3 linked regions of the Caenorhabditis elegans genome follow. The protein of the gene in region 3 purifies or fractionates together with the protein of the main gene of each other region. This does not show direct contact. Each region holds a gene or a part of one and is shown on either strand. Other genes may lie near its edges. The genes, in order: mrpl-41, R09H10.5 and vit-1.

The links.
Region 1: the proteins of vit-1 (region 3) and mrpl-41 purify together in Caenorhabditis elegans (affinity purification with mass spectrometry, with the first as the bait; one large-scale study listed by BioGRID). This does not show direct contact.
Region 2: the proteins of vit-1 (region 3) and R09H10.5 fractionate together in Caenorhabditis elegans (co-fractionation; one large-scale study listed by BioGRID). This does not show direct contact.

Annotation. Positions count from the first base shown.
Region 1 is NC_003280.10:285,564-293,123, reverse strand, and holds mrpl-41 (Large ribosomal subunit protein mL41), read right to left. Parts: upstream 4,186-7,560; coding exon 3,977-4,185; intron 3,521-3,976; exon of another isoform or gene 3,466-3,520; intron 3,362-3,465; coding exon 3,254-3,361; intron 3,149-3,253; coding exon 3,023-3,148; intron 2,919-3,022; coding exon 2,819-2,918; 3' UTR 2,738-2,818; downstream 1-2,737. Other genes in the region: Glutathione-independent glyoxalase DJR-1.1, read right to left, coding at 1,393-1,550, 1,917-2,190, 2,384-2,515; misc-1 (Mitochondrial 2-oxoglutarate/malate carrier protein), read right to left, coding at 4,651-4,809, 4,929-5,245, 5,858-6,006, 6,120-6,356, 6,433-6,491; B0432.10 (Lant_dehydr_C domain-containing protein), read left to right, coding at 7,445-7,537.
Region 2 is NC_003282.8:10,621,562-10,633,142, forward strand, and holds R09H10.5 (EGF-like domain-containing protein), read right to left. Parts: upstream 7,269-11,581; 5' UTR 7,254-7,268; coding exon 7,202-7,253; intron 6,887-7,201; coding exon 6,768-6,886; intron 6,718-6,767; coding exon 6,665-6,717; intron 6,198-6,664; coding exon 6,064-6,197; intron 5,874-6,063; coding exon 5,729-5,873; intron 5,683-5,728; coding exon 5,606-5,682; intron 5,552-5,605; coding exon 5,360-5,551; intron 5,317-5,359; coding exon 5,184-5,316; intron 5,113-5,183; coding exon 4,974-5,112; intron 4,933-4,973; coding exon 4,801-4,932; intron 4,754-4,800; coding exon 4,606-4,753; intron 4,560-4,605; coding exon 4,495-4,559; intron 4,444-4,494; coding exon 4,029-4,443; intron 3,984-4,028; coding exon 3,777-3,983; intron 3,726-3,776; coding exon 3,299-3,725; intron 3,124-3,298; coding exon 2,943-3,123; intron 2,897-2,942; coding exon 2,758-2,896; intron 2,714-2,757; coding exon 1,605-2,713; intron 1,514-1,604; coding exon 1,394-1,513; intron 1,350-1,393; and 9 more. Other genes in the region: R09H10.7 (SEA domain-containing protein), read left to right, coding at 1-130; F56C4.4 (Activin_recp domain-containing protein), read right to left, coding at 7,916-8,044, 9,316-9,479, 9,587-9,680.
Region 3 is NC_003284.9:7,724,526-7,736,068, reverse strand, and holds vit-1 (Vitellogenin-1), read right to left. Parts: upstream 8,181-11,543; 5' UTR 8,169-8,180; coding exon 7,296-8,168; intron 7,244-7,295; coding exon 6,959-7,243; intron 6,914-6,958; coding exon 3,728-6,913; intron 3,681-3,727; coding exon 3,434-3,680; intron 3,386-3,433; coding exon 3,126-3,385; 3' UTR 2,901-3,125; downstream 1-2,900. Other genes in the region: set-12 (SET domain-containing protein), read left to right, coding at 521-612, 1,113-1,604, 1,857-2,262, 2,311-2,394, 2,441-2,461; spp-14 (Saposin B-type domain-containing protein), read right to left, coding at 9,729-9,884, 9,934-10,089; K09F5.6 (Protein tincar), read right to left, coding at 11,460-11,543. UniProt on the Caenorhabditis elegans protein: Precursor of the egg-yolk proteins that are sources of nutrients during embryonic development. Together with other vitellogenins, may play a role in modulating life-span, acting via induction of autophagy and lysosomal lipolysis.

The sequences.
Region 1 (7,560 bases), on a different chromosome or scaffold from region 3:
GGTTTAGTGAATAAAAGAAATGTATACATGCACAGGCAAGATGTCGGTGGAGGTAACCTTAACGGTAGAGCACGTGGTGTCAGGCTGTCCGATCACTGTTTACAAAAAATGTTTACAAAAAATCTACAAAAAATGTGGGAATTGTTCGCCCCAAAAAAAATGTGACGTCAGCACGTTCTTAACTATGCGAAATCAGTTGAGAACTCTGCGTCTAAACTCCCGCATTTTTTGTAGATCTACGTAGATCAAGCCTTTTTGGGCCTACTAGGATATTTTAAATGATAGAAAATGAACCGTAATGGCCAAGCACAATTACGATAAATTGTATCGAAGATTTGTCAAAGACGGAAGTATGATGATTCTTTAAACAAAAAATCCTGATATCTTCTGGCATTCAATCAACCACTTTTCGTGTGGAAATTCAAAAAATCAAAATCAGAACAATCAAAAATACAAAAAATGTCATGTTTCTCGGACTTGCAACATCTCTGACGTGACAGAATCCGGAAAAAAATCATCGCTTTTTCTGAAAATTGGAAAAAAAGACCACAAAAGAGAGTCAGAAGCCGATTATCAAGGTCAGAATGCGTCAGGATCTGAAAATAGAGAGTCCAAGACGGTCAATTTCGGCACTGGAGGTAACTCCGGGCTTCTGGGGGCTCAAGGCTTAGTTAGTTCTCTGGTTCAGGACTTGATTCACTAGCTAGGCTTTGGCTTTGGTTTAGGACTAGACTTAGGCTTAGGCTTTGGTTTAGGATTAGACTTAGGCTTAGACTCAGGCTTATGTTTAGGCTATGCTTAGTTTTAGGCTAGTCTTAGGCTAGGCTTAGGCTTAGGCTTAGGGTTATGCTTAGGCTTAGGTTTAGGCTAGGCTCACGCTTAGGCTTATATTTTGGATAGACTTAGGCTTCAGCTTTGGCTTAGGCTAGGCTTACGCTTAGGCTTAGGTTTAGGAATAGGCTAGACTTGGCCTTAAGCATTGGCTTTGGCTTAGGTTCAGGCTGTGGCTTAGGCTAGGCTAAGGCTTACTTTGTTAGGCTTATGTTTAGGATAGGCTTAGGCTTACACGTCTTACACTTAAGTTTAGGAAATAATATAAATTCGCAAGAAAAATGAGAAAAAAGGAAAAATCAAAGTTTCGTGAGGGAAATAACCGCGGAAGTCATTTTAAGTTGCTCGCGCGCGCGCTCTGTTGATTAAGCTCATCAGAGTATGTCCTCGTTACTCGGGTGACTGCTGTCATTGGATAAACAAATTTGTAGTTTTCTCGGAGCTTTCTAGATTTTTTATTTAAAAAAGAAATGTATAATTTATAGGTGTGGGAAAAACGTGAAATTGTGACGAATATACAATAAACCAAGAGGAAATTCAGCGAAAAAAAAACGGGAAGAATTAGAGCTTCAGGAGCATCGGAGCAATAAGGCTGGTGGCCTTGTCCTTTCCCTCAAGCAGCTCCACAATTTTCAGCGCAAATTCGAAGGCAGTTCCGGGTCCACGAGAGGTGATGATTTTGCCACTGACAACAACACGATCCTCCGAGTACTTGTAGCCTGGAAATCACAAGTTTTTCGGGGAGAAATGAAAATTTGGGCATAGCTTCCGCATCCCCAGTGACAAATGTGCTCTATTCCACCGAATTGTTGGTTGGAATACGGTATTTATTGCATGTTTCAGCCGAGAATACCGATATTCATACCATCAATTTGGATAGAAACACATAAGTCATGAAAGTTATAGGATCTCACTAAGTGGCCGCGGAAAATTCGGTGGCCGAGTTTTTTCCAGGCCACGTTGCAAGTGAAAAATTCGCTAGTTTTGCCTAATGTAGATTTTTTTAATGAATAGTTAAGGCTCCCCTATGAAATTGTTCGATTTTTAGCGACTTTTCACCAAAAAAAGTGCAAAACCAGCTGTACCTCCTTTCTCGAGTTTCTCCTTAACACTTGGATGACTTGTCACAAGTTCTGCCTTGACTCCATGGCTCAAGAGTGCAATTGGAGCTGCACAAATTGCTCCAATCAGCCCACCAGACTCTACTTGGCTCTTGAGAACATCGCGGACAAGTAGGCTTTCAGCCAACGTGTTGCTGCCCGGTTGGCCGCCTGGAAGAATCACAATATCGAATTTTTCGGTTTCCACGTCTTCGAGTTTGACGTCTGGCACGATGTGGGCTCCGCGAGCACATTTTACCTGGAAAATGTGAATATTTATGATTTTTGACTGGTTTCGAAAAGAAAAATTATTTGAAATTTCTGAATTTTTCTCAAATTTAAACATATTTTGGGGTTAAAATACCTCAATTATTGATTTTTTTTTTTGGGATTTCGGAATTTTTAATTTTTTAAATTCTAGATTTTTTACAATTTTCTGCTAATTCCCGTACCGGTTCGGCTCCATCTAATCCGGCATAAACCACACGAATTTCACCACGAGCAAGTACATCTCCAGTGATAATGACCTCCATTTCCTCAGCTCCTTCGGCCGCCAATATGATTAAAGCCGATTTTTGAGCCATTTTTCAAAGTTGCTCAGTTGAAAAATTCTGAAAAAGGGAAAAAAACTCAAAAGTAAGTTTTAAAAATTAAAATTTTTTGGTTTTTGACGTTTTTTTTTAAGTTTATGTTTAGGAGATTAGTCAATTTCTTGGTTTTTGACTTCAAATCTGAAAATTTTAAATATAAAAAAGGGGAAACAACTCGAATTTTGAGGAAAAAATACAGAAAAAAAAGGGAAATTTTTTTTTCAACAAAAACAAAAAATATAACAGAAAAATCGCTATAAAATATGAAAAATCTATGAAAAAAAAATCGATTTAACATTATTTATTTCCATATTTTCCCTCCTTGTATGCACTTCGGACAGTGTCGCCGTACGCCAATTCGAACAATGTTTCAGCTGACATTTTCGGTGGTGGCCATCTGGAAAATTTAATTTTTTTTTCAATTTTTTGGGCAAAAAATCTACAAAACTGCTTTTTTTCAGGTAATTTCAAATAAAAAAAATCAGAAATTTTTAGTTTTACCTCTCATCCTCAACAGTATGTAAATCAGCCAATCGTTCGGATCCTTTTTCCAAAACTTTCTTCTCATACGCAACTCGTCGCTTTTCGATTTGAACATCTGTACGGTAGGAGACGTAGGGCCGAAGTCTGAAAACTTGAAACTGAACTTGAAAATTCAAAAAAAAAAGTCAATTTTCATGGGTTTTACCCATATTTCGTGAATTTTTCATTTGAAAATCCCTTAAATCGTACTTGAAACCATCCAAATTCGGTACAACAAGCTCTGATCGCATCTCTTTCACCGGTACAAACTCTCCAGTCTTTTCGTCGTGAAATCCGTCCGCCTGGACTCCGGTGTACCTGGAAAATTAAAATTTTAGAAAATAATCGAGGATGGGCCTGCTACAAACTAGACTACAAACTACAAATACCGATTTAGCAGACCCGAGTGATATTGAAGAAATTTGGTCTGCTAGACTACAAACTACACATTTCGATTTAGCAGACCAATATAAAAATTGCCTGTTTTCAGCTTAAAATTTAGATTTTTGATTCTTTTTTTTTTTGGAATACAATGTTAATTCACTCAAAAATTTGATATTAGATCAATTTTCCCCGAAAGTTCCGATTTTTTCAGGATTTAATATGAAAATACGCACTTTTGTCTTAAAACACAAAAATTGCAAAACACTTGAATTTTTGCTAATTTCTATTTGAAAAAAATTCATTTTCCTACTGAAAAATTGAAAAATTCATCATTTTCTAATTTTTATTGCGAAAATTGAAAACTTTGGGTCTGCTACACTACAAACTACAAGTTGTCGTTTAGCAGACCCATTTTGTTTTGAAGAAATTTGGTCTGCTAGACTACAAACTACAATTTTCGATTTAGCAGACCCAAGTGGTCTGGATGAGAAATTTAAAAGTCTTAAAACGTTTGGGGTTAATATTGAAAAAAATTACAAAATTTCACACCTATGCAACTCTTTTGGATTCAATTTCTGAAATTTCGGAGAAAGTTCTGGAAATTCGCGATTCTGTCCGGGCCATTTGAATTTTTCGTAGTTCATTGGACCGATTTTCCTTTGTCCAAATGCTCCTTTCTTCACAAATGGCCATGGAGCCGGAAAATTGGTTGAATTGAGTGAACGGACTCCACGAGTGCTTACGAGCACCAGTTTCATCTGAAAAATTGGATTTTTTAATTGAAATTTTCGATTGTTTGCTTAAAAATATGGAAATTAAGAAAAAAGTCGATTTTTGAATGGTAATCTGGATTTTTCAAAATTAAAAATGAAAATATCGAGAAAAAATGGATTTTTGGCTGAAATAGCCCTGCCTGCAATACCTGAAAATAGAATTTTAAAAAATATAAGAAGCGGGAAAAAACCAAAAAAAAAAACAGAGAACAAACGTTTTGAAAATCATTAAAAATTGCATTTATATGCAGAAAAAAATACAAGAAAAAATTGGTATGAACACGAAAAACTGAAGAAAAAATACTGAATTTTCCTGGCTAAAACAAAATTTCTGGCCAAAATTTAAAATCTGAAAAGTGTACACAACACAACCTAAATAGCATAAAATTATGTTCAAAAAAAATAATAAAACTGTGATTTTTTGGTCGAAAAATAGCTGAAAAATCGATTCTACAAGGCACTGGTCACATCTCGCTTGAGCACATATTGGAAGTAGGCGGCATTCATTTGTTCCAAAATGATGAAAGTGAGCACGGTATGGGGTCCAAGACGCATGTAATATGGGGTAAAGCCCTTCCAGAGGGCGAAGATTCCTTCGTTTTTGATGACCTGGAAAATTTAAATTTTTGGTTTAAAATTTGGGGATATCCGAGTGAAAACCTACTTTTTAGCAAAAACGGGAAAATTAGATTTTCGAATTTTTACATTTTTTTAAAAGTTAAATTTACCTTTCCCCAAACATCAAAAGCATTCTTATATTCCGGTTTTCCATCAATAACTTTCATTGATTGAATTCTCGTTTTTGCAATATCGACAGGCATCGATGCAATTGTAGTTGCCAATCCACTGATCATTGATGCCAAAAAGTGGCAGAAAATGCCATCTTGAACCTTTCCAGAAGCCAAAAGTGCCTGTTTCGCCTGGGAATATGTGGCAAGTTGGGCGGCATTTACGACCATTGCTCGGAGTACTGTAGGTGTACATCCACGCCAAAGAGTTAGGACACCTTCTTCTTTTGTAATACGGGTAAGGGCATTGACGACTCCTGGAATGAGAAATTTTTATTAAAATTTCAATTTTTGAAATGAAAAATTTGGAATTTCCAACAATTTCCAACAAAATGCGATTTTTAAAACTTGGGTCTGTTAAATCGGAAATCGTAGATTGTAGCTTAGCAGACCAAATCTCTTCAAAATCACATTGGTCTGCTAATTCGAAATTTGTAGTTTGTAGTCTAGCAGACCATATCTCATCAAAATACATTGGTCTGCTAAATCGAAATTTGCAGTTTGTAGTCTAGCAGACCATATCTCATCAAAATACATTGGTCTGCTAAATCGAAATTTGTAGTTTGTAGTCTAGCAGACCAAATCTCTTCAAAACCACTTTGGTCTGCTAAATCGAAATTTGTAGTTTGCAGCCTAGCAGACCCAAACTCATCAAATAAAAATTAAGATTTTTGACGAAATCCGGTATTTTTTGTAAGAAATTTTCGATAAAAATGAGACATTATTGTAAAAACGGTAATTTTAAGTTTCTTGTGACGAAAATTAAATTTCAAATGAAATTTTCAAATGAAAATCAATGATTTTCCACTTTTTAAAGTAATTTTTACTGTTTTAATACAATTTTGAACGAATTTCAAGCTCATTTTTACCTGTATAATTACGACGCTGTTCAACAGGAAGCCGTCCATCTCCAGTCATTCGAATAAGTGCAATTTCAGCAGGTGTTCCAACAAATGATCCAATACCACCAGCTGTCATTCCAAGAACAGCTTTCATTCCAAATGATAGGGGCTTGTCTCTAAAAAAAATTTTTTAAAGAAAAATTGAATTTTTCAAAGAAAAAGGAACATTTTTCGCGCTTTTTAGTCAATTTTCTGCTATTTTTTAGCTGTAAAGTGTGTTTTCCCGTACTTTTCAGTGAATCTCTCCAATAAAAATGCATAAGTTCCCAATCTCGTGGTTGTATACGTTGCTTGACGCAAAAGTCCGGCAGAAAGTCCATTATAAACGGCAAAAACTCCTTCGTTCTTCATAATTGATGTCAACGCGTGCATTGATGAACGATATTCCTTTTTTCCTGTTGTTCCAGACAATTGCATTCGATTTTTCACTAAATCTAGTGGTTGTACCACTAAAGTCGCTCCCATTCTGCAAAAATTGAATATTTTTTGACGATTTCAAGACAATTTAAAGATTTTAAACTGAAAATATTCCGAAAACCCACCCAGCGGTTCCTCCGAACGCGAATTTCACGACATTTGGCACTCCTCCTTCGTTGGACATTTTTTCCTGAAAACGGCACAATTATCAACAGAAATTGGGTAAAAATCGATATTTTCGCCCGGAGAACCACAAAAACAAGGTCAAAATGTTACTAAACGGATCTTATCAACAGGAAAATAGGGAGAGACGCAGAATTTCTCATTAAAACTCAAGGAAAAAGTGAATTTTCACAGATTTCAGTGAGAAAAATGTGCAAAGAGCAACATTTTACAATGTAAACTCACTGAAAAACGAGAAAAATTGGTGAAAATCAACAGAGAATGTGTGGTTGAACGCTTTTTGCGCGTTCTTTGGAGAGAACTTTTCGTGGAAAGAGTGATAAGAGAGAGAGAGAAAAGTAACATGTGATTAAAGCGTGTGTTCGATGGTGTTTTAGGGTGAAAATTGGCGGAGAATCGGGCTATTTTCAGTGAAATTCAGGCGAATTTTGAGAAAAAACAGTTGAAATCCACAATTTTAAGGTATGCTCTTGCTTTCTTTTCAATTTTTTAAACAACAATGTGTTTACTTCAGTTACAAGCATATTTATAACTTAATTTATTCCAAAAATCGGAAAAAAAAACTACTGCCGCTCTCCGGAGAAAACTTTGAAACCTGAAAATTCATGAAAATCCCTCGAGAATTATAGATTTTATAGGTAATTCAATGAAAACCTGCGAGTTTTAGACGAAATTTAGCTGAAATTTTCAGATTTAACGCTGAAAATTTTGGAAAATTGAAAAATTTGATTGTTTAAAAGGTTTTTTTGCTCTAGAAAATAAAAAATCAAATAAATAAGCGCAAAAACGATAAATGCGCCAATGCCATTCGCTGGCGCATATCTCGTGCCTTGGCGCGTTTTGCAATTTTTTGAAAACAGATTTCAGAAAATTATTTGTTTTTAATTGAATTTTCTTTTTTCCGTTTGGAAAACTCTTTTTTTAATTGAAAAATAAACTTTACAGCTGAAAATTATGGATATATGGGTAAACTTGCTCTCCGACCGGTTAGAATCCCCGAATTTCGAGTTTATCACGGATTTCATCGGCGGAAAATGTGTTGTGCAGGTATTTAAGCGAGTTTTAATAAT
Region 2 (11,581 bases), on a different chromosome or scaffold from region 3:
TGTATCTGTTATTCTTGGAATCAATATCAAAACTGAACAAAACTTGGAAGATCAACTGGAAGCTTGCATTGAAGTTCGGGATGCCTTTTTCCTGAAGTCTCATGATCCTCCTCTGAAGATCTCTGCCTAATCTCTACATAAAATTCAATTAATATCTTGTTTAGTGTGATTAATGTTACGTGTTATTGCATTTTTACCGCTTCTTTTTGTTTTGAAAACATTATAATTTGAAAAAAGTATTAAAAATTTAAACAGTAAAGCCATCAATTAATCCTTTGATCGTTTAAGCCGAGATATCTGAAAAAATTATGATGTTCTTAGTGTGGAACTAAAGAAAACAGAACTTACATTGTTCACAATAATCGCCATAGTAACCATTTGGACAGTCACATAGTCCATAAGCTGATACTCCTCCATTCGTACATTTTCTAAGTTGGCATAGATTTCCAAAATGATTGGCATCGCATTGACAGAAACCATAAGTGTCTACAGTAGCAGAATTCATGCAATCTGAAAAAAGTAGATTGATTTAAAAAACTCACGCCTTAATTCTGTTTCGACAATCACTAGGAGTTAGAACCGACCGGCTTTGTTTCCACTCTTATTAAAGAAGAAAGTTCGCTGATAATCGTTGTTATTAGAATCCTTTCCTCTCACGACAAATTTCATGTAAGTTGAAGTCCAAGTGATGAGCGGTGTCACAAACTGGCTTGCACAGTTAACTGGGTCTCTAACAAGAACAGTTGCATTTGTGAAAATTCCAGTTTCCCATGGAGTTTCAGGGTCAGTATTAGCTGATGAAACAGTTAGAATAGTCGAACCAAAGTTGTGGGAATCAGAGTTGTAACTGTCCATTACACGGAAAGTGATATAAGAAGCGGATGTACTTCCAGCACCAACTCTTGGAGTTCCACTTCCGAAGTCATCCCCCTGATCGTTGGTGAAACGTGGAATGATTTGAAGTGGCGAGTTGACTCTAGCTTGAAGATAACAACTTCCGGTGCTTTTTACTGTAACACTCCAGGTGCCTGCATTATGTCCAGATGTGCTGATTGTTCTGATCAAGGTGTTCACATCGGTGAAGGTAGTGGAGTTGGTCAAATCGACGTTGTTGGCTGAAAATCAAAAGATGCACTTGTTGTCCAAGTACTGGGAAAATAATACAAAATAAATTTACATTTTTCATCTGTGACAGTAACTGAAACGCCAGTTCCAGTCGCTACAAGTGTAAGTGTCGTAGCCAAACTTCCGACTGGGAACTGGAAGTTCACTCCAGCACTGCAATCCTTGGCGGCATCATCGAGAATCAATTGATTCTCATTGACAGTTGGAGTAAGAGCGCTCAGAATCTGAAATACTTGCTTGGAAAAACGAAGCCTTTTGATTAAATAACCTGTTGAGTTTGAAGTGGGCTGACTGGAAGGACTCGTCCATTTGATTGTCTTGCAATGGCTGCATAATAATAGTTTACGTTTACAGGTGTGAGATCAGCTCCCATCCAAATCATGTTGACCTGTAAGTAAATTCAGAAGTTTTAAGTATTCATTTTCAATCTTTAGAGCGACAAAAATTTCAAAAAAAGGATAATATATTCAAAATTTCACCTGAACACCATAACGTTGTCTGACTGCATCGAGATTGCTTGCTGAATTGGTTGCAGTAAACACATAAACAATTCCAGGAAGATCGACAAGTGTTGCATATGCAGTGTTAATAGCTTCCAATCCTCTAACTTTGGTGGGACTATTCACTGAAACAGTGATACCTTTTTGGAAGGCTGCCAAGAAAACATCTTTTCGCGTGGAAGATGCAACAACTTTGATGTTAGTGTCATCGAAGGTCACAAGAGTGTATTGCTTTGGAACATTTACGTCATCAGTAGAATCCACAAATGCTTGGATATTCTTCAAAAGATACGAATTTGGCAGGATCATATTCTTGGTGTTGATTTCGACGACAAAAACAATTTGCTGGAAGTTATACTCTCTTGGATCATGAGTCTCTACAAAGTTCCATGTGTTACAGGTTGTGTATTGACAAGAATCTCCATCATATATAGAAGGACATTGACACTTAAAGTCTACTACCGAACCACCATTTTGACATGTTGGTACTTCACAGTGAAGACTCGTGTATCCATTGACACATTGACAATTTCCACCCAACATGATTCCTCCATTGATACATCCAATCAAATCACTACAGTAAGCTCTTTGAGTTCTCATGATTGTCACTTCATTTGTCGTAATGGTAGTTTCCATTGTGAATGTATCTCCAGCACTTTGGCAAGTGTATTCTTGATTCATGATGTATTCATACTTGCATCCAGATGTACGTTTAGTGAACAATGAAGTAAAAGCAATGTTATTGTTGTTATCATAACTAGTGACATCAATTGATGGATCAGATTGAAGAGTTGAAGAAAGATGAATGACTGGCTGTTGATGAGTTGCATAAGTCAGATCTCTACTGAAACGATCAAATGATGGATCAGGAGAGAATCCAAGGTAAGCGGAGAATTGACTGCGCTCGGTGATTCTGACAAAGCACTGTGCCTTGGTATTAGAGGAAAGTTGGAGGACATATTGCAACGAAGATCCAGCACTGATTTTAATTTGATAACTGGCAAAGAATGGCACTGAATGTGAATCAGCAACCAACGACTGCGATACACCATTATTAGTAACGGAAGCAGTAAAGTTTTGAATCGTAGCTGAAAATTTTCGCATGAATCGTAATTGGTTTTGATCAACTTACGAGAATAAACGACAACATATGCATCATTTGTGGCGCTTGAAATATAAAACGAACGGGATGCAAAAAGCGAACAATCCATAACATTATAGTAAGCAACAACCTCTGTGTGATGATGAGTGCTTCCATACGAAGCAATGAACTGAATTTCAGAGAATTTATTTTACATTTAAATCTTCCAAACGTACATTGAACACAGGATCTCCGTTTGTAGTATACGGTTGACAGAAATTGATAAAGTTTCCACCAGTCTGTTGTGCAAGGATTTCATAAATCTCATATGTTCCAATGTCGGTACAGAAGTCAGTGGATCCATATGGTGGAATGATGACTACAGAGATTTCAATTTGACGTTCCACTGCGGTTTGACTGAAATTCAGTTGATCGAAGATACGGACATTACAAACAATTTGAAGAAAGATAAAGTATTCTAAATAATATTAACTGATAAAAATCGAAATCTAGGTTGACGGAAAAAAATATGGTACCATTCTTATACATATAAAAATTCACAAACAACAACTTTTTAATACTCTTAACTTACACAATATCGGAGAAGTTCATCGAAGCTTCCACCACCGAAGACGCAGAATCAGTGAAGAAGAAAATTGAGGATTTATCAAAATCCATTGATCTCATTGTAGTTTCCAAGGCGAATAGTCCTGGCTGAGGTCCACTTGGAGAATATGAATATCCGATTCCAATGTCGTTGGTAGCGTTAAGGAAAGCAGATGCTGAGCTGAACTTGGACGACGATACATCTGGGAATGATGCTCCGTTGACTGTTCTAGCCTTGAATGTCGTAAGCACAAAATCTTCAAAATCATTAGACTGTCCTTGATTGAGCATTGCACGGAGACCATCATTAAGCCGCACAAGAGCTTGATTAGCAGATAAAGAGTTTTGAACAACAACAGCAAATGACCGATTGTAAGATTGGAAGGTGTCGGGGGATGTGGTGCTGCATGTCACTAAAAAAGTGAAGGTATGAATCTGATTTCAGAGAAGACTGAAAAACTTACAAATTTCACAGAAACTTCCAGAAACACCAAATGGACAAATGCAGTTTCCATGACCACCACCGTTGGGGAACTTGTCAGGTGATCCTCCATTCACACATTTTGGAACTTCACAGTGAAGTCCACCCCAGTTGGCTGTGCATGAGCAAGTGCTTATTCCGGAGCGGGTTCCGTTGTTGAGACATGACCACGGAGCGGCCATGTGGGAATCTAAAAATGTCGTATTTGATCGGAAAAATGAAATAGACTACATACCTGGCGTGAAGCAATATCCTGGAACTGCACGGTACTTGTTTCCATCGGAAGCAGACACAACCACATTATGAACATATGGACCTGGAGTACACGAAGTAGCATTTGCGATTTGGTACTGGAAGATGCATGATGTTGCTTTTGCTGTCGCTGTAACAGCAGCAGAAATCACACCGGAAGTGACAGAATTAGCGGTTGAAACTGAGAGACTTGTAGTTGTAGCAAACGAAGAATATAGAGATGGCCGTTGATAATATCCATTGAATGTGTGAGCATAATTGTTATCAACAGTATCATCTTCAGAGTATGACACAAGAACATCGTCCATTGAAGTGAACCACACACGAGTATTATGAAGTGGAATTGTGTCTCCTGTGATGGTAACTGATGTGGTTGAACTTTGGAATACACGATAAACCTGAAAACCTATTTTTATTATGTGATAGGTGATAGTTTAACTCAGGCTCACAGCAAATCTTCGTCCAGAGGATGTGGGCTTCAATGTGTTACCATTGGTGTCTTGAATATTTGGAACTGAAAAAAAAAACATCAATTTTGCAGATTCCATTTTTTGACTAACGTGATTCTCCATTCTCAACTGTCATCATAATATATGTTGTTTGTGTTGGTGTATCCGACTGCACTGGAATATTTTTGGCAACATTATTGTAGTATTGCACATATGTATTCTGTCCACCAATTGTGTAGAAAAGAAGATGAGTGAGAACCTGAGAATTGAGTAACTTTGATCTAGAGTTATAAGAAATGATCTCACTTCGACAATTTCCGTTTTATCAATCATCAAAATGTCTCCATGAGCAGCCGTAGCGACTCTGCGGAGCACATCGAAGTGGTTTCCAGTTGGCTCAATTGGGCTTGATGTCGTTTGGGAGAGAACAAAGATAATCTGAAATGGAAAAAGTATACGAGTTTGTAGCTTTAAATGACCTTATTTCTCCAGGCAAGAGTCTGCTGGATGACCATGCTTTCATTTGTGCTACTGAGAAGCGTTGAGGGAGTTGGATCCAATAAGTTCTCAGAATCAGCAAAAACATAAACAGTTGATTTTGGTCTCATTGTTGGCTGGCTGAAAACATTTATTTTATATCATTTAAGTTGATTGAAGATCTCCAGTTATTGAAAATATCTAAAACCCACGTGGATTGAGAGTTAGCAATAGCGTCAAGAAGAGGTTGATCATCAGATGATGGAGCAATGGTCACACTGTGAAGGTAATCAATCATAGCATCGGATGTTGTGAAGGCACTCGTTTCCATGAAGTATACGGATTCTGAGATTTGAAGTTTTCAACCAAAACTATGTTTAAAACTAACTTGTATATCTGTAGACGGTGACGATGAAGCTCGAAAGAATGACTCCTTGACTTTGGTAATCCGTCACCAATGTTGGAATATTTTCAATGATCATGCTCAAATCGTATGCCATCGATGTTCTAGTGTTGATAGCAATAATGAGTGACTGAGACGAGAAGTCAACGACGGAGTCAATCTTGGTGACACAAGTTCCTGAAAACTTTGATTTTCAGAAATTGATTTTTTAAATTGATTTTGAAAGCATACTTGCTTCACAATGAGCAGAATACAATCCAGGAGGACATGAACATCTTCCACTTGATCCAATACCATTGTTGCGGCAACTGAAAATAAAATTTATATTTAAAACATTCAAATATAAAAACATACGTCACCACTTCACAGTTAGCTCCAGAATAGTATGGTAAGCAAGAACAGGTAGCATTTGGCAATAAAATACCTCCATGCAAGCAATTGCTCACGTCAGCACGAACTACTCTGAATCTCGAAACACTGTCCCCTTGTACTTCAAATTCTGAAATTGATGTTAGGTGTTAATAATAAGTGTACTGCACATTCTGACGCAACACAAAATTTACGACCTTGCGCTTTGAAGAATACATATTTTACAGTTTCCACCACCAAGTGTAGATAAAATTAACATTGATGAAAGGCGGAATTTGATTAATGAACAAACGGGGCACAATGATAGAGTTCAACCATACCATTTTTTCGCAAGAAATATATTTGCACGTCGTCCGTCGCCACGATTTGGTCAATGATGTCTTGTCGGGAAACTGTTAGAGATGAGACAAGTGTTAGACGAGCATGGAAGACTGCGGTGTCTTGACCGTGAATTCTGGATTTATGAATGATTTTTTGAAATTTTTTGATCGGTAGAGGGAAATGAGTTGCTTGTTTTTAAATTATAACTGTGGAAACATTATCTTATTATTGTGTGTGTATAGAAATGTGTGAAAAATGGACCAAAATGTAAATAAAGAAATTTTCAATGTATCAGATTTATTTTAATATTTTAAATTTTCTCAATAAAATGTTATATTTGAACAAAATATTGCAAAAACTAAATTTGTTTCAGTTTATAAACTACTTCAAGTTAATTAATAAAACAACTTCTTCGAAATTTTCTGTATTTTTCATATTTGTATTTGAATAAAGATATATGAAATGGTGAAATTAAAAATAAAAAAGTTCCAGTTCCAAAAGATGCTATAGAATCAAAAGAAATTGTAAATTTCTTCAACTAAACTTTTCAGCAATTCCCTCATTCAGAATACATCTTCTTTAAATATTTCCAGTACTCACTTGTAATCATGAACAAAAAACTCTTTGAAATCTGGTCCAACAACTTGTGAAAACTGAAAATAATTTTTTGAAAAATAAATTCGTGTAATGCACCGTCACTCACCCGTTCCGAAACTTTGTTCAACTTTTCCGTGAATGATTTTTCATTGTAATAGTCCGGATGGATATCGTAACTGTTGATGAGATCAATGTTACCACGAATTTCATATTGAACACCAGCGGCTGTAAATGGTGATCAAATTTTTTTGAAAACCAATAAATAAGTTTCTGCGTTTTGAAATTTGAAATTCAGACAAACTTTGTCTATGAAAAATTAATTTGTTTGGAATACTTGGATAAAAATTACAGTTATTATAACTCTTTATTTATTTATTTTTATAATTCACTTTCTACATTGGAACCGATTCAACATAAATTTAATTTTTTTTTAAATCAGAACCAAATTTGAACAAGGAGCTGTCAAATGGGGAAACGAAAATTCAACGTTAATAAGAAAAATACGGTATTTTTTAAACTGAAAAACATTAAAAAAATTACCCAATCCTATAATAACCAGTAGCAATCCAATGGCCTTTGTAGCAGGCGCCATTTTGGTTTGGTCTCTGACGACCGAACTGAAGTCAAAATCGGCAACTCGATGGCATGCATCGCTTATCGGAAACTGCAGTTTTTATTAGCCTGTACTCGCCCATTAGCTTATCAATGAATTTATTCATTTTGAAACTTTTATTGGTTATTTGGGTCCTCAAAAATATAAAGTACAATCATAAATTAAATGGGGCGCTATCGAATGTGTATTCAATTCTTATTATTAAATTTTTTTGGAGAAATAAAACGAAAGTTGGATATTTGAAAAATGCATTATTGATTACATTGCATTTTGATTTACGGATTGCCAAAGATCCGGATTCCGGAATTTTTGATTTTCAGTCAATCTGTATGTATTTTTCTCTGCCTTCATTTTTTTTGTCAGAAAACCACCTCACGAATGATAAAAATTGGAATTATTGTTATTTCTTGTAGCAATTATCATCTTTTTTTTTGAATCTTGAAATTTTTGATTCTACTTGAAATTTTAACAGTAAGTAAATGAAAAGTAGTAATCGGAAACACAGGAAAATCTTGATATTAATATTGATATTTGCCATTGCAGTCCTGAAGTTTGCCCCTTTGAGAATTAGTCACAGCCATACTAATAGAAGAAATACGGTTTTCGAACTTTGTTTTCAACTTAAAAAACGCTCATTGAATTTAATGTTCAATTTTTTGTTTCCCTGCACTTGAATCTTTCTTGGTCCTTTTCTCAATTCCAACATCGTTACACATGTTTTCCGAACAGCATCTCGTTGTCACTCCGATGTTTGTGGAAACTCGATCACCCTGAAAAATAAAAATAATCTTATTTCTCTACTGAACTTTAGTCAATTAATTTAACATGGTTCAAAAAATTCATAAGGAAACAGTTTTGTTTTCTGTATTATACAAGCTCAAAGTTCGGCGAATATGTAATTTTTTTTTTGCAAAATAGATAAATCCTTTGATCTTACAGATCAGAAATGGAGATTGTTCAGAAGATAACAAATATTTAAAAAACTGTAAAAGTAGAAGCAAAATCAATTCATTTGAATTTTGTTCAAGAACCCCCTTTTATTGAGTTTAAATCTAGTTTGACACGTGTAGCCTCAGTGCGTAACCTACTTGTGATCTGTGCTCAAAGACTCTAATAGCCAATCCCCTTTACTACTTTGCCTAATCTACCAGTATTGAAAAATGCGTCACATAAGTCTTTTGAAACCCTATCAAAAGTTCTTACAACTTTCGGAAGTGGTAATTTTAATGAAGTCAGCTGGAAATGATGAAAGTTTTGCTGGAAATAGATTTGATAAGGCTGCCCCGAGTACCTGGCACGTTAAATCAAACAAAATGCACTAATAGAAGGTTGCACGCAATAATTGTTTTGCGAATTATTTCATAATTATTCAATGGAACACAAACAAGCTTTCTTCGTGGTGTATGTGCACGTGAATATCACGGTGGTCTAGAAAATATTTTTTCTGATCAGATTACAAATTATATGCTTGAAAAAGTGTTTTCACATGTTACTGGAAAATTTATATCACCAGGATTGTTATTCAAATATCCTAAAACAATTTTTTAACAAAGTAGAGTGTAGCTCGTAAATTTAATTTTGCTATTTTGCTAAAAAAAATAAGTAAATGAAAATTCTGCAAAGATACAAAGAAAATGTGCATAAATCAGAAAATCCTGTTACTCTGAACCTTTTCATGCAGACTCTGCAAACAAAACGTACTTCGTTAGGTGCAAAATAAGGTTCAGAATTGTAATAATAGTTTGGATTATTAGAATAGGTAAAGGCGTTGCAAAGCCAGTGGGAAAATTGATCAAACTAGTCAAATGACTATAGAAAATCACGTTTTTATATTAAAACTTCTTGAATTTTGTTTAAAATCGCACGCAAGGTTGGTGATCACTTCATAAATTAATCTCACTTGGATCCAAATTTGAAAATTCCAAAGCTTATGTTTAGCAAAATGCGATAAAACTTATTTCAGTGGGTTTCATTACGGTCGCTTTGACAGTTTTAAACTATTTTCAATGGTTTTAGTTAAAATCTAAGGGCCTTTGAATACCTCGCACAAATTCAGGATTCTTCTGCTTGTACTCAACGTCTGACAACTCGCGGTGACCGTATCAAAATCTTCACTATAAGATTCCACACAGTACTTCATTCCATCATCACAAGTCTCATTGAAAAAGTTTTGAATATGTTTTCCGTTGATGTATCCTCTGCTACCTGCCAATTAATATCTTATCAAAAGGTGTATGGGTGCTTCTTGTTTCGTGTCTTCTTATCACAGACCATATATCATGAAAAAGGAAAACGTGGAACTCATAACTTACCAGCATAACAGTTAATTGCCAATGAAAATGTCAAAAAGGTGGGGAAAAAGAATAAGAAAAAATAAATTTTGAGAGTTTTTTGAAAAATCATCATGATTGATTATCAATAAATTTGGGCGAGAAAGTGAAAGTGGTGATGTGATTGTTTATAATATCGATCAAAACTATCATATTTCATTATTTAAAAAAAACATTAGATAGAAGAAAAGACGCAGTGAAAACGTGGTAATTTGTATTATGACCCAATACAATTTTTTCAGATAAGATGATAAGTTCCGGCGGCAATTGTAGTATACTGTTCTTTTGCCATAAATCATCACTTTTCTTGTTTGATTTTTGAATTGAAACCTGAAACTGAAAAAAATGGGTGCGGCTATCTGTAAATTATACACGCTCTTGCCCTAAAGTGGAGTTTAAGCGCATTGTGAAACAAGTGGCAAAGGTTTGGAAAAGCAGAAAAACCCGGTATTGTATTGGTGTGGGTAAAGAACGTTTACAGTTAAAATTTAATTGCAAATTTAAATTCAAATTGGAGATTTTGTAAAACTAAATCAATTAGTAGAGTGAAAGTATTTAATAACTCCTTGAATACGGCTACACTTATATTTTAAACTAAATTGCGTCGGTCCTTTTGGCGTATTGGTTGAAGTTTTGGTTCAGAGCCTCAGTATTTTCGCGCAGCGAATGTTCAGCTAACATTGGTCAATGCCGGCTTTTGAATGATATTGATGGTCTTTCTGGGTTCTTGAATTCACTTTCCAAGTTTAGGGAACCTATGTAAATACTACACTTCTAGAAAAGTGCTGTAAGCGTACTCTGAAGCGACTTTGGATATAATAACTGTATCTAGATGGAAATTGGGTTGGTACAAATGACCGATGCAAAATACAAATTATGAAAAAAATTTTAATTTGTAAATTAATTAAACTCCCAAAATAAATACACTCCTAATACATATTTTAAACTTTAATTCTGAGTCTCACTTTTTAACGGCAATCTAACACTAATTTATACGAACATTCTACGTGTTCTATCGGTATACTTGACCCTTTTTGTTCTTACTATTAGGAAACTGGGAAATTTATCTTGTGGCTTGCGAATTTTGAAGGACGGATATTCATATCGGCACGAACCAATCACTAATCGGCGATTTTTATGAATATTTTACATACTGTTTTGGTTAGCTTTCCATGTTATTATTCAAAGTTGTTTTCTTTTCTTTCATAACTTGTAACTTCTCACTGATCTTCAATCTCTAATATTGTGCCCAGATGACTAATGCTAGATACTAGACAGATTTCCTTTTCCAAGCCAAATCGCTGAAGCATATAATTTTCCGTGCACATGTAGCGGGGGTGATAAGCAATGTAGACTGATATTTGAAAAAACATTCATAAAAATTTAAACTTGTAATAAAACATTTGATTCAAATTTAAATGAAGCAACATAAATTTAACGCTTTAAAGGTATCCGAAAAATCTTCAAAATATTTTAAAATTTATTGGATTTATCTGAACTATGCAGGGTGTCCAGTTAAGAGGGGGATCTAAATAAATCTAGAAACAGATTTTTAAATAAATAAAAAAATTAAAAGTAAAAAATGAACGAATAATTTCAGGGTTCAAGTTGTTCAACACATAAAGTTTTTGAAAATTGCCGCAACATGTTGAGGATTCAATTTGTTTTTGTATTTACAATTTTTTTAAAAACTTTTCCCCGTTTTCCATAAAACCAGTATTTTCTTGCTCTACAGAATTTTGTTTATGCTATTCATAATTCAATCGTTTGCCAATAATGCCCTTTTATTTTTCGCAACAAAAATCGTTTTTTTTTTTCAATTGAGCCAACCTGCAAGCCTCCAATTATTAGCAATCAGAAGCTGTTTCAAAGTGTAATTGTCCCTTATTCATGATATCATTAAATAATTGAAGAAATGTCTGAACTTCCACAGGATGGTACCAACAGAGTGATATCAACCCATAATCATTTTGTGAA
Region 3 (11,543 bases):
TTGTTAAGCAAGATTTATTTTGAAAAACTAGCCTTCCATATCCAGACCGTTTTAGTTTACTTCTCACTCAATAATATGCTTATTGTCTAATTTTCTAATTTGTTTCCGACTTTTAATGTTATTATGGCTGAGATTCTTATTGTAAAATATAGATACTTCATGAGATCTGAGCAAAAAACTGATTTGGTTACAAACAAAATATTGATTGAAACGGAAACAGTTTTCTACAAGAAAATACCTTACTTTTTGACAAAATTGACGGAAAATATATGTCAAACAGGTCTAACATACGTGCAAACTTATCAAGCACCTAAATTTTTCATAAAAACATAGCTTTTATATAAAAACAGAACATATCAACTCAAATTATAGTTTTGAAACAAAAAATTCCAACACGTTAAGAGAACCTTGAATTTAAAACTTAAAAATATTAAATAAGACTAGTATGGAAACTATATTATATCAACAATATACACCTTGAATTGACAAATACGAATAATCTGTTGTATAAAAATTTCAGACCGATCCAAAATTTTTCCCGAATACCAGAAGGATGGACTACAGTTTCATTTGCAGTCCGAAAAGAAAAACTGGATTGCTCACAGTGACAAGGTTAGTTTTGTTAAATTTTTTTTGTAAATAAGAAATACAATTGAAGCAATAGAGTTTAGACAGAATCTTGAGTTTAGCACATTTTCCCACAGGTAACCAAAAATCATCGACATTGGTTACATATCAGTTTAAGTCAAAGTAATGTGAGACGAGGAACCAAAAATTACAATAAAAGATGATAATCAAATAAAAGTTAATTTCCAACAGCCGTGACATGGAATGGTTGGCAAAATTTAAGACTTTCGCTAGAATAAACTGAATTTTTTTCGAAATTGTGAACCGTAATAAACTTTTTTTTGTAAAATTTGTGAGAAATTGAGAAATTTCAGTACAATATTCGTGAGCCCATGAGACAAATTTTCGAGTTCAAAATACACAGAGCCGTTAGTCTTTCTTTGAAGTATGCAAAGTTTTGAGAAAATTTTATTTATATCGAAGATTGATTAACTCTTGTCTCGTTGTCTGAATATTCTTATATTCTTTAAGTAAACATTTTTCAGCTGCAAATGCGGCACGGACTGCACCACGGAGGAATGTAGCAATTTCGCAAATCATCGCGAATGTCCCCGAGGATGTTCAAATTGCGAAAATCAAAGATTTCGCAAAAGACAGTTTTGCGGTGTTGAAACTTTCCTCACTGACAATGGCATAGGACATGGGCTCAGAGCAACGGAAGAAATTGCTACTGGCAAGTTAATCCTTGAGTATCGGGGAGAGGCGATAACCAAGGCCGAGCACAATAAACGCGTTAAGCGCTATAAAAAAGATGGAATCAAGCACAGTTATTCGTTTGAAGTGGGAAGAAATTACTATGTGGACCCGACACGCAAAGGGAATTCGGCACGGTTCATCAATCATTCCTGCAATCCAAACGCTTTGGTAAAAGTGTGGACCGTGCCGGATAGACCTATGAAGTCTCTGGGAATTTTTGCATCGAAAGTCATAAAACCAGGAGAAGAGATCACTTTTGACTATGGAACCTCCTTCAGAAAGTAAGTTGACTTTGTAATACTTTGAAAACAATACCCATCTTTTTGGAGTGAGTTTTTAGTATACTTTTTCATTGCGACAAAATACATACTGGCAATGAACTGTAATAAAACAATTTATCAAAATCTTTTGTATTTTTCTTTTTTCTTCCATTTTCCGAACCCCGATAAAAAATCCCAAAATTTTAAATAAATCACAATTTGATTTTGTTATGCTAGACCTTTTTATACTTTACAGAACTTTTAAAATTTTAGTGACCAACCATGTCAATGTGGGGAAGCAGCATGTAGAGGTTGGATTGGAAAACCATCAACATCTGAAGTTCCAAAGGATGTGTCCAAAGAGCTTAAAAAGAGAGGAAGAAAACCGAAAATGGATCCCACAGCACCCATATCAACAACGAGCACAGGAGGTGGAGACAAGGGGAAATTAAGTGGCACAATTCCGGTGCCAAAATCCAGGAGAGGAAGAAAAAGAAAGACCGATGTCACAGCTCCTGTTCCACTAGCCACAAAAACCAAGAGACATAGTCCCCCAGCCGAAAATGAGTCAGAAGACAAAGAAAATGTTAAACCACCAAGCGAAGAAGACATTACCAACGCCATGAATAATCTTTTAAATAAGACATACGATAATCAAAATGGTGTGCTTGATGAATGCGTAAGTAGAAAGATATCAATTTGAAAGCCACTTTTAAATTGTTTTCAGAGAAGCATCATGGGCAATCTGGAGTGTAAAAGTTACGAACACATGGTTCACAAACGAGTGCTTTTTCTACTAGAGAAAAATATGGTATCTTAAATATTTCAATTCGATTTTAAACAGATCAATTTTTCAGGGTCTAAACTCGAGACTGTAGCCACTCGTGGACTTTCAAACGGTTTACATGCTTCACTACAGGTCAGTGGTTACAAAATGAAATGTGGCAGTTGTAAAGAAAAGTAGGAATACAAAAAAACTCGAAATTCTGGAATATTTGAAAACCAATTTTCATTCTAAAAAAACCAATCGACTAAGCATACTTATTGTGTTTTTTCAGAACTGCCAAACTTGCCTTCACAATCCTCATCTTTGCCATTTTATCTTCAGCATGATCAGCATGATTTCTTGTTTTAATTTCATTTTCATAATAATAAAAACCTCCGAAAAAAAATGACAGAGCACTTTACTTGTTTTATTTTCTTTGCAACGTTTTAAATTCTATCAGTTTAGTATATCTTTCTCAAATTCCGAAGATTCGTATCATCAACTTTCACGATTATCGGAAATAAGATTTCAGACACTAACAACTTCTTTTTAAAATGTTAAACTCGATTTATTTTCTGTTACGCCAAAACGTTGAAAAAACCATAAGTAATTTTTGATGTTTCTACCAAATTTCTGCAACTTGATGATGGATATGAAACAGTTTCCAAAAGCTTAAAAATAAACTAATGAAAATTTATTTCTAAACTTGTACTAGAAAGACAATTATTAGCAGAAGTTATAAAATTATGAAAAAAAAGGCCGGCCGAGCTTATGAATTAATAAGCGACGCAAGCAACTGGGACTTGAACTGAGTGGACAAAGGAAATCTTGTGATCATCAAGTTGAACTGTTCCTTGACGAGCCTCCTTCACCAGACGTCTGGCTTCAGAACTGTGACGTGGCAAGCAGGTGAAGCGAACTTTCCTTTGTTGTTGCTCCACAGCTTCGTATCCACGACGACGGCACTCGGCTACTGGCTCAACGGAGAAGCAGATGCGGTGGGAAAACTCCTTGATTTGAGTCTTCTCGACAAGATCTGAAAACGTAAGTTTCCGATATGATATTATTTGAAATTATGTCTTACCGGATTTCTTCTGGCTTCTCTGGTTCTTTTGCTTTTTATTGGTGTTTTCCTGCTCATAATCATAGGTCTCCTCAAAAGAATACTCTTCAGATTCGTACTTTCTCTCGTCGTACTTTCTGTAGTTCTTCTTCTCAGAAAGACGCTCCTCCTCGGCTTCACATTCCTCGTTCTTGAGAAGGTAAGATCGGTGGAACTCTTCGATGTCTTTGGTTTCGGTGTTATCGGAAGTGTAAAACTCGTTGGTGGACTGAAAATTTTTGTTATAACTTAAGAAAATCTCTAGACTGAACTCACCTCATCATCGTTGTTTCCGCAAAGTCCGCAAAGTTGGTTCTTGCGGCTGTAGGATGGAAGTTGAGTCTTGATGGTGTATCCGTCAAAGCGAACCTCTCCTTCTGGTAGCTCAATAACAATATCGGACTCTCCGAGTCTCTCGATTTGGTGAGCAGAATAATCCTCAGAAAGGATCTTCTTACCGTCAACCTTAACGCGAATCTCCTCGTTCTGGAGTTGAGCAACAATTTCTTGTTCTCCACGGATAACCTTGATGATCATCTCTTCGGAATTCTTTTCAGTCTTCTTGGAGAGAACAGCGAAAGTTGGCTCCTCGGAGCAATCTTTGGCGATCAGAGAGTAACAGGTGGTGAGTGGAGTGTTGTAGAGGACATCATCGAAAGTACGGATTTGGTTCTTTTGCACCTTGCAAACAGATCCGGAAGCCTCATTAAGTAGGTGCTTGACGGAACGTTGAGCAATGGATGGAAGGTACACACGTGGCACTTGAACGTTCTTGAGCTCAACGCGCTCAATTGGGGATTGCATGGTGATGTTGACGTATTGTCGGGACATTGGCTCAACTGTGAGTTGAACGACGACGCGATCATTCTCGTTGTTCTCTGGGCGGCTCGAGACAGTCCAGTAGTTGTAGGCCTTAACAAGATCAAAATAACGGGCAAGAACTTGTTCGGTTTCACGGGTGAGCTTGTACTCAGCAACAGCGTTGATCTGGTTAAGACGGGCGGCCTTGATCAAAAGCTCGTACTCTGGCATTCCATTGAAGTGACGGTCCATGTTACGCTCGTATTTCTTCTGTTCCTTGGATTGTTGGAGTTGAGCGTTGACGGTGACTTCGCTCTTCTTCTGGGATCCCCAGGTAGAGGTAAGAGAGAGTTGAACTTCACGGTGTGGTTGATCGTGGAGTTGACGGAGGGATGATGGCATCTCTGGGCGGACAACAAGAAGTTGGGAGCGGAGAGTCCATTCCTTGGTTTCCTCGAGGATTGGGGAGCGGCGAATTTCAACTTCCCATTGGCACATGCGGACTTGCTTGTCACAGACGGTGGTAACCTCGGTGTTCATCGTGTAGTCACGTGGGGCCTCAAGTCTCAAGGAGACGACAGATTTGTATCCTTGCTCTTTCTGGATGCTCTTGACCATCTTGGTGAAGTACTCACGGCGGCTCTCGGTGTTCTCTTGTTCGAGCTCGAACTCCTTTTCGAAGATCTTGTTGTACTTGATTTGGGAGAGCTCGGTCTTCTCGAGTTGTCCAACGGTGAGACGGGCGGTGAATTCGGCTGGACGGTACTTGTTCTCAACGGAAACCTCGAAGTCTTGCTCGGCAAGAAGCCAGTTTTCAAGAGTGTGTTGGTTGAGGATGTTTCCGCGTGTGGAGACTTCAAGTCCGAGGAAGTTGAAGACCTTCTCAATTTCCTGAGTCTTTTGTTGCCATTGTGGAACAACGACGGTTCTCTCTTCAGCCTCAATGTATTCGAACTTTGAGAATCCTGGGAAACGAAGGAAGACAACTGGGCGAGTGGTGAGGGAGATGATCGATTTCTGGTTCTCTGGAACGACAACCTTGTAGACGATTTCGAAATTTCTCTTCATTCCAACGACGGCTTGAATCTTGATTGGGGTGTAGGCGCGTACGGATTGAACGCTCTTGACTCCTTGCTCGAAGAGTGGGGTGAACATTCTCATCTCGTAAACGTGGGTGGCAGCAACGGATGGGCGAGCCTCAACGGTCAAACGAAGTTCGGTTTCCTCAAGTCCAAGAGAGAATTGTCCTTCAGCCGAAAAGACCGTTGGGATCTTTCCAGAGACGATGAGTGGAAGTCCAAGAGTGGTTGGGAATTTGCGGATAGCCTCATAGAAGTAAGCGGCATGATGAGTCTCGAACTCGTGCTCTTGGTTAAGAAGACGGCGGATTTCGCTGAACTGAACTTTTCCGTTGCTGATGTACTTCTCAATGAGCTTCTCAATGAGTTGGGTATCGACTGGGAGGATGGCATAATCCATGTCCTTGTAACGAAGGTAGACCATGGCGAAGGCATCCTTCTCGTTGTAGTTTGCTGGGCGAGCACGGATGTTCATTTTCAGGGCAAGTTCCTTAAGAAGCGTGATTCCGGTTTGGATACGGCGTCCGCGGACAACAGTTGTGGACTCCTTCTCAATGCTTTCGAGTTTCTCAAGAGCCATCTGAACGTATTTGTCCATGTGTTGCTGTGAGAATCCGATTTGGGCAAAGTACTTGTTCCAGTTTCCTCCGAAGACGGCATCAAGAGAAGCGTGAAGATCCTTTAGCAAGAAAGAGTTCTTCTCGAAGATAGCGGCAAAGTCAAATTGAGCTCCAGAGAAGGAGTTTTGAAGGAAGAGTGGAAGTTGAGCGTAGGAGGAAGCGATCATTTGTTCTTGTGGTTGATAACGAGTGAAGGAAAGAACCTTTGAGCAAACGATAGCAACACGTTGGTAACAGGGGTTGGTGGACTTGGCAAAGTGACGGATCATCTGGTGGGTAAGAGCAGCAACTTGTTGGTTGGTCTCTTTCTCCATTTGGGAAACAACTTGGACGAGGAGAGACTCTTCTGGGCGGGTGTGCATCATTCTCCACAAAGCAAGCATGCGGATCTCTGGCTCGTATTGTCTGTTCTTGTAGATTGGGAGGAGTACCTTTTGGATCTTGCGTGGCATGGTGTCCTTAAGAAGTCTGAGGGCATCAATGGCTTCCTTGCGGACTGGAAGTAATTGGCGCTTGTCAACAATGATCTCGTTGAGCTGGTTGACGGAGATGTCGAGTCCAGCGTTTCCGATGCTCTTGAGTGCCAAAATCTTCTCGTAGGTGGTCTCAGCATCCTTGTATTGTTGCATGAATACGCGGAGGAACTTCTCCTTGAGCTCACGCTTGTCCTCGCGGACGAGTGGACGGATATTCTTGTAGTCAACAATTCCGCGGACAACTGATCCGGCGGCGAGCCAAGCAGATTGTCGGACAACCTGGTTGTTCTTGGAAACGCGAGACTCGGCGAACTTGATGAGTGCTTCAGCAATGGTTTGAGATGGGAATGGAGTCTCTTGGATGGACTTAAGAAGTTGAGCGGCCTCGAGTGGAACGATGTCCTCGTTCTCGATGTGAACAAGAATGTGTTGAATGGTGTTCTTGGTTCCAGCAATAGCGAGAGCGTGCTCCATCAAAGATTGGATCTGAATATTGCAAGGTAAATTATAAAATGAACTAAAAATGTATACCTTCTTGTCAGCCTTGACGTAAAGAGTCTCGTGGATCTCTTTAAGTTGGGAGGTGGAGGTGGTGCGGAAAATGCGGACAAGACGCGCAAGGAAGTGGGAGGTCTCTGGGATGTTGTTCTCGACTTCTTGTATTTGCTCAGTGATAGTCTTGATCAAGTGCATCTTCTTGTCAAGTGGGAACTTCTCGAATGGGGCGAACTCAGCCTTATCTCCATTCTTGAAGAAGTCTTCAACGAGTTGCTCCCAACGGGAAGAGTAGATGATGCTTTCCTTCTCTCCATTGACCTGAAAGAATATTTGTCTTAGAACATACTGTAAAAGTTATGGATTAACGTACCTTCTCTATGTGACTTTTGATGGAGTGGTTCTCCTCAAGAACAAGCTTTGAGCGGGTTTCAGTCTTCATGACTTCTTGTCCGTTAACGTTGACAGTGTAAAGGGAGCGGACCTCGGATTCTTTAAGCTCTTCGTTTTCCAAAATGTAGGTGTAGACAGTTTGTGGGCGGATGAGCACGGTGTCCTTCTCGCATTCTGGGCACTCGGAAGAGTAACGAAGTCCGTAAGCGATCTCGGAACGTTCGGTGCACTTGTCAAAGTTGATGGACTTGGTGATGATGGTCTTCTTCTGCTCACGGATGACAGTGTAGGCGACTTGGCAGTCTCCTTCAAGGGTCTTCTCGTTGGTGAAGAAAGAAGTGTTTTCCTCAGATTGTTCCTCCTTGTCATAAGAAGATTCGATTTTCTCAATCTCGTTTCTTGGAGCAATTGGGTTGAATGAGATCATGTTGACAACAGCTCTCTTCATGTTCTTTGACCATTCAGCATCTTCCTTGTCGAATTGGAGCTCGGCGATGAGTCCATTTCTGAGTTGAGCACGGAGTGGGAGTTTGAGCATTTGCTTGTACTCCTCGGAGAGTTCGCGCTGCTCCATGGAGTTCAAGGATGGAATCTGCTCGGACTCTGGGAGGTGGGAAGCGGCCATGTGAATATTCACAAGTTGAAGGTGAATGTGACGGTCATCGACAGCTTGAATACGGACACGAGCAGAAAAACGAGATTGGGAGAGCTCAGAGGAAGCAGTTGGAAGGCCGGAAAGAACAAGTCCGTCGAACTTGTAATGATAGTCGATTTTCGGCTCAAATGTGCGCTCGAAAGCTGGGGAGAAAGCAATGGCCAAAGCCACTATAGATGCGATAATAATCGACCTCATGATTGGACAATGAATTTCCTCTTCACAGGTAACCTTATATACAACCTTCGATTGGCATTTTCTGAATTGAAATGAAGGGTTTGCAACATTTAGCGCACTGATAAGGCTTTAATTTGGCACATTGACAGTTGCTCAATAATTTTTCACTTTATTATCGCTGAATCTCAGAAATAGCTTCTATCAAATGTGAATTTTTTGTATTTCTACGTGTTTCATCAAACTTTGATTGACCATGCACAAATTGTCTTTATGCAATTGATAGTAGTGTTATGACAAGTGTTATGACAATTGCGGAGAAATTTTGTTTTGTGGAGGACAAGTATTTCAAGTGTAATGCTAACAACTAATAGCCAATTTTTTCAAAGTACTTTTTTAAAAACTTTTTTGTAGTGATGAAGTTGAAAACTTTGAAGTTTCAGCCATTTAATTTATTTCAAGGTTATATATTTAAGTCGCAAAATTGTTTTACAAGACGGTTGCTATTTATAATTGTTGATTCAATTTTTCAGTCGAGCATAAAGGCTAGTGCACTTTGTTTTAACATATCAAAGAATTGTATATTTCAGGTGACAATTTTATCTCTCAAATGACATGCAGGAAACAGCAAGTTTTACATTCGAATATCCACAAGAGTACCTTATGTGATAAAGTTTTGTTTTTTTGTTGTTGTATTTCTTTCTCTAAGTTATTCACTAAATGTGAAGTGCAACGAGAACAATTTGAGGTTTGTAAACAAAAAAAAAACAAAAAAAAAACCGAAATTGTAAACATAGTTTTTTAAACAGAAACGGTTACTAGAGATTTTGTGGAATATAATAACTGTATTTTTTTTATAGTTGGTGTGACATGTGTGACTTTAGCCATTAACAGATCTTATTTCCTTAATTGTGTTTTTTCATAGAACACATTACAAAATGACTGAATATGTGAAAACGAAGTGTCACATCATTTACCAAACCAAAAATCAAGAATGATTTTGGAATAGGTATTCAAGCCTGCTTACCAACAGGACAACCTCTGCCTGTTTCAAAAGATAAATGCATTCACTGACAAAGTTTTGTCGAGATTTATTAAAATCGTTTGATTCAAATTTTCAACCAAAGAACGTGAAAAAATTCAAACGTTTACTGAAAAAAAACATTGATCATCGGAGTTTACTTCATCTTTCAGATTTAAATGTTTAGGTAAAATTTTATTTTAAACGCGGTTTATTAATTTTTGACATATGTAGGCTTGAATTGTTACAATTCAAGCTACACTTGCGTAGAAAATAACCTGATAACCTTATACGAAAAAAGTTTATTTCAGCTTTCAATTTGGAGCTAACAAGAAGTTGTCACGTTAGAGCCGAATCGACACTTTTTGGTAGTCAACGTCTATAGCTTTGATTGCCACTGTAGTTAACTTTGCTCTTCCTCTCACGAAAAGTCAGTTTTGTTCAGAGTTAGTGAGATTTATCAGTTTCAGGCGCGCTGATATTTGACAATTTGAAGTTCATATCTGAATAAACAATTTCAAAGGTCATTCACACTTTATCAGAAGAAAAAGAAACATAAAGAATTAGCACTCCTTGAGCTTTTTGCAGACATCTTCTGGAGCAGTTCCTCCCTCGAGCTCGTTGATGATGGGGTCAAGCTTGGAGTTTCCGTACTTCTCACATTCCTTCTCGGCAAATGGAATGATTCCAAGTTCCTTCTTGCATTCGGCGTCAAATTTCTAAAATCATATTCACTATAATGACCAAACGAACAGTTTGACTACTTACGTCCTCAACGGTGTGAGCTTCTCTGTCAGCTGGGTTTTCAGCAGCACGGACTCCGACCTCGCACATGAGGCAGCTCATGGCATTGTCCTGTTGGCTTGGGAGAGCCAAAGCGGTAGCGACGGCGACAAGGGCCAGAAGGCAGAAGGTGGTCTTCATTCTAAAAAGAAAATAATATAAAAACGACATTCTAACCTTATCAAGAAATCAGCAGTCTGCAAGTTTGTCATGAATGAAATGAATGAAAATTCCGAAAGATAAGGGAAGAGTTAAAGTGCTGTTATCATAACGATTGTCTCGTTCATTTTATACAGACTTTCAACAAGGAAATTTTAAGTGCTCAGCCCGACGAAAACTTGAATCGCATGACACTGTCCCGCCCACTTTTATAACCCACTGATAACCCGATAATCCGGAATCTTTGAGTTCTTTACTCTGTCTGATTATAAAACTCTATTTGAGATAAAACTGTTTACATCATATTTCAATAACATATTCTTATATTCCTTGATACTTTTAAATTTGTTTGCTCTTTATTAGTGATTTTTTTTTTTTGAAATTTGATTTCAATAAAATCTGAGAAAGAAAATATTGAAACAAAGAATGTGGTCAAATGGGGTTGACAAACAATAAAACGAATTATGACAAAATGTTCAGAGAAATTGTGGAAATTCAAAGAAATGTACCCGATATCCAACGGGAATATAGTACAGTAACAAAGGAAACGATTTTTGATGATTTTTGGTGTGGGGTGACATGAAAAAAGGGAGGAGGAGTAGAAAAACGTAAGAAGAAATTATCAGTTATACATAAAAATGCGGGAGGCAATTATTACGCGCTTACTTACAAGGGTCGAAAATCAAAGAAAGTGGCGAGGAAATTGTTCCATAAACAGTAGAATTCAGTCCGTTTTCAGCAATTTGCAAATCAAGACCGAAATTATAGAGAAAAATAAAAAATGAATTTCAACAATTATAGTGGGATGATGTGTTTGTTTGGCGGTTAACTGTTTAAGTGTTTGGCGAGAAGAAGTGCATTGTCACGGAGTTGATTTGGTTCATGTGTTAATTGGGGGAATAGTTCATCGGGATCAGTAGGGTTCCTGTAAAATGTATCTTTGTCAAAAGTTAAGAATGCAAACTCTGTGAACAGTGAAACTTATCAATTTCATCCTAAAATTATATGGGCTTTGAAACCGTTTTCTGAACTAATTTTATTAGGCTTACATGATCAGGTTACATGATATACAATTTCGGTTTAATCGTGTTCCTTATTTCTATTTAAAGGGTAATGCAATACTAATAGAGGAAATACGGTGAATCATAACATTTTTGTAAATTAATAGTAAAATATCTCGGTTTTTTTTTCATAATTCGATGCAGATAGTTATGATATCGCTTTCAATTGTTTCAATTTTTTTGATGATTTCTATATTTCAGAGTTGCAATCATTCCGTTTGAAAATTTTGAATTTGTAAACATTTCTAGTTACTTTTGAATTAAGACCTACCAAAAATGTAAAACAAATATTCACACAATGCTGGTAGCAAAGTCATTTTGGTTAAGTGCTCCAGTGGGTGGACGAGAAAAGCTTGATACAGTGTCATCTGTTCC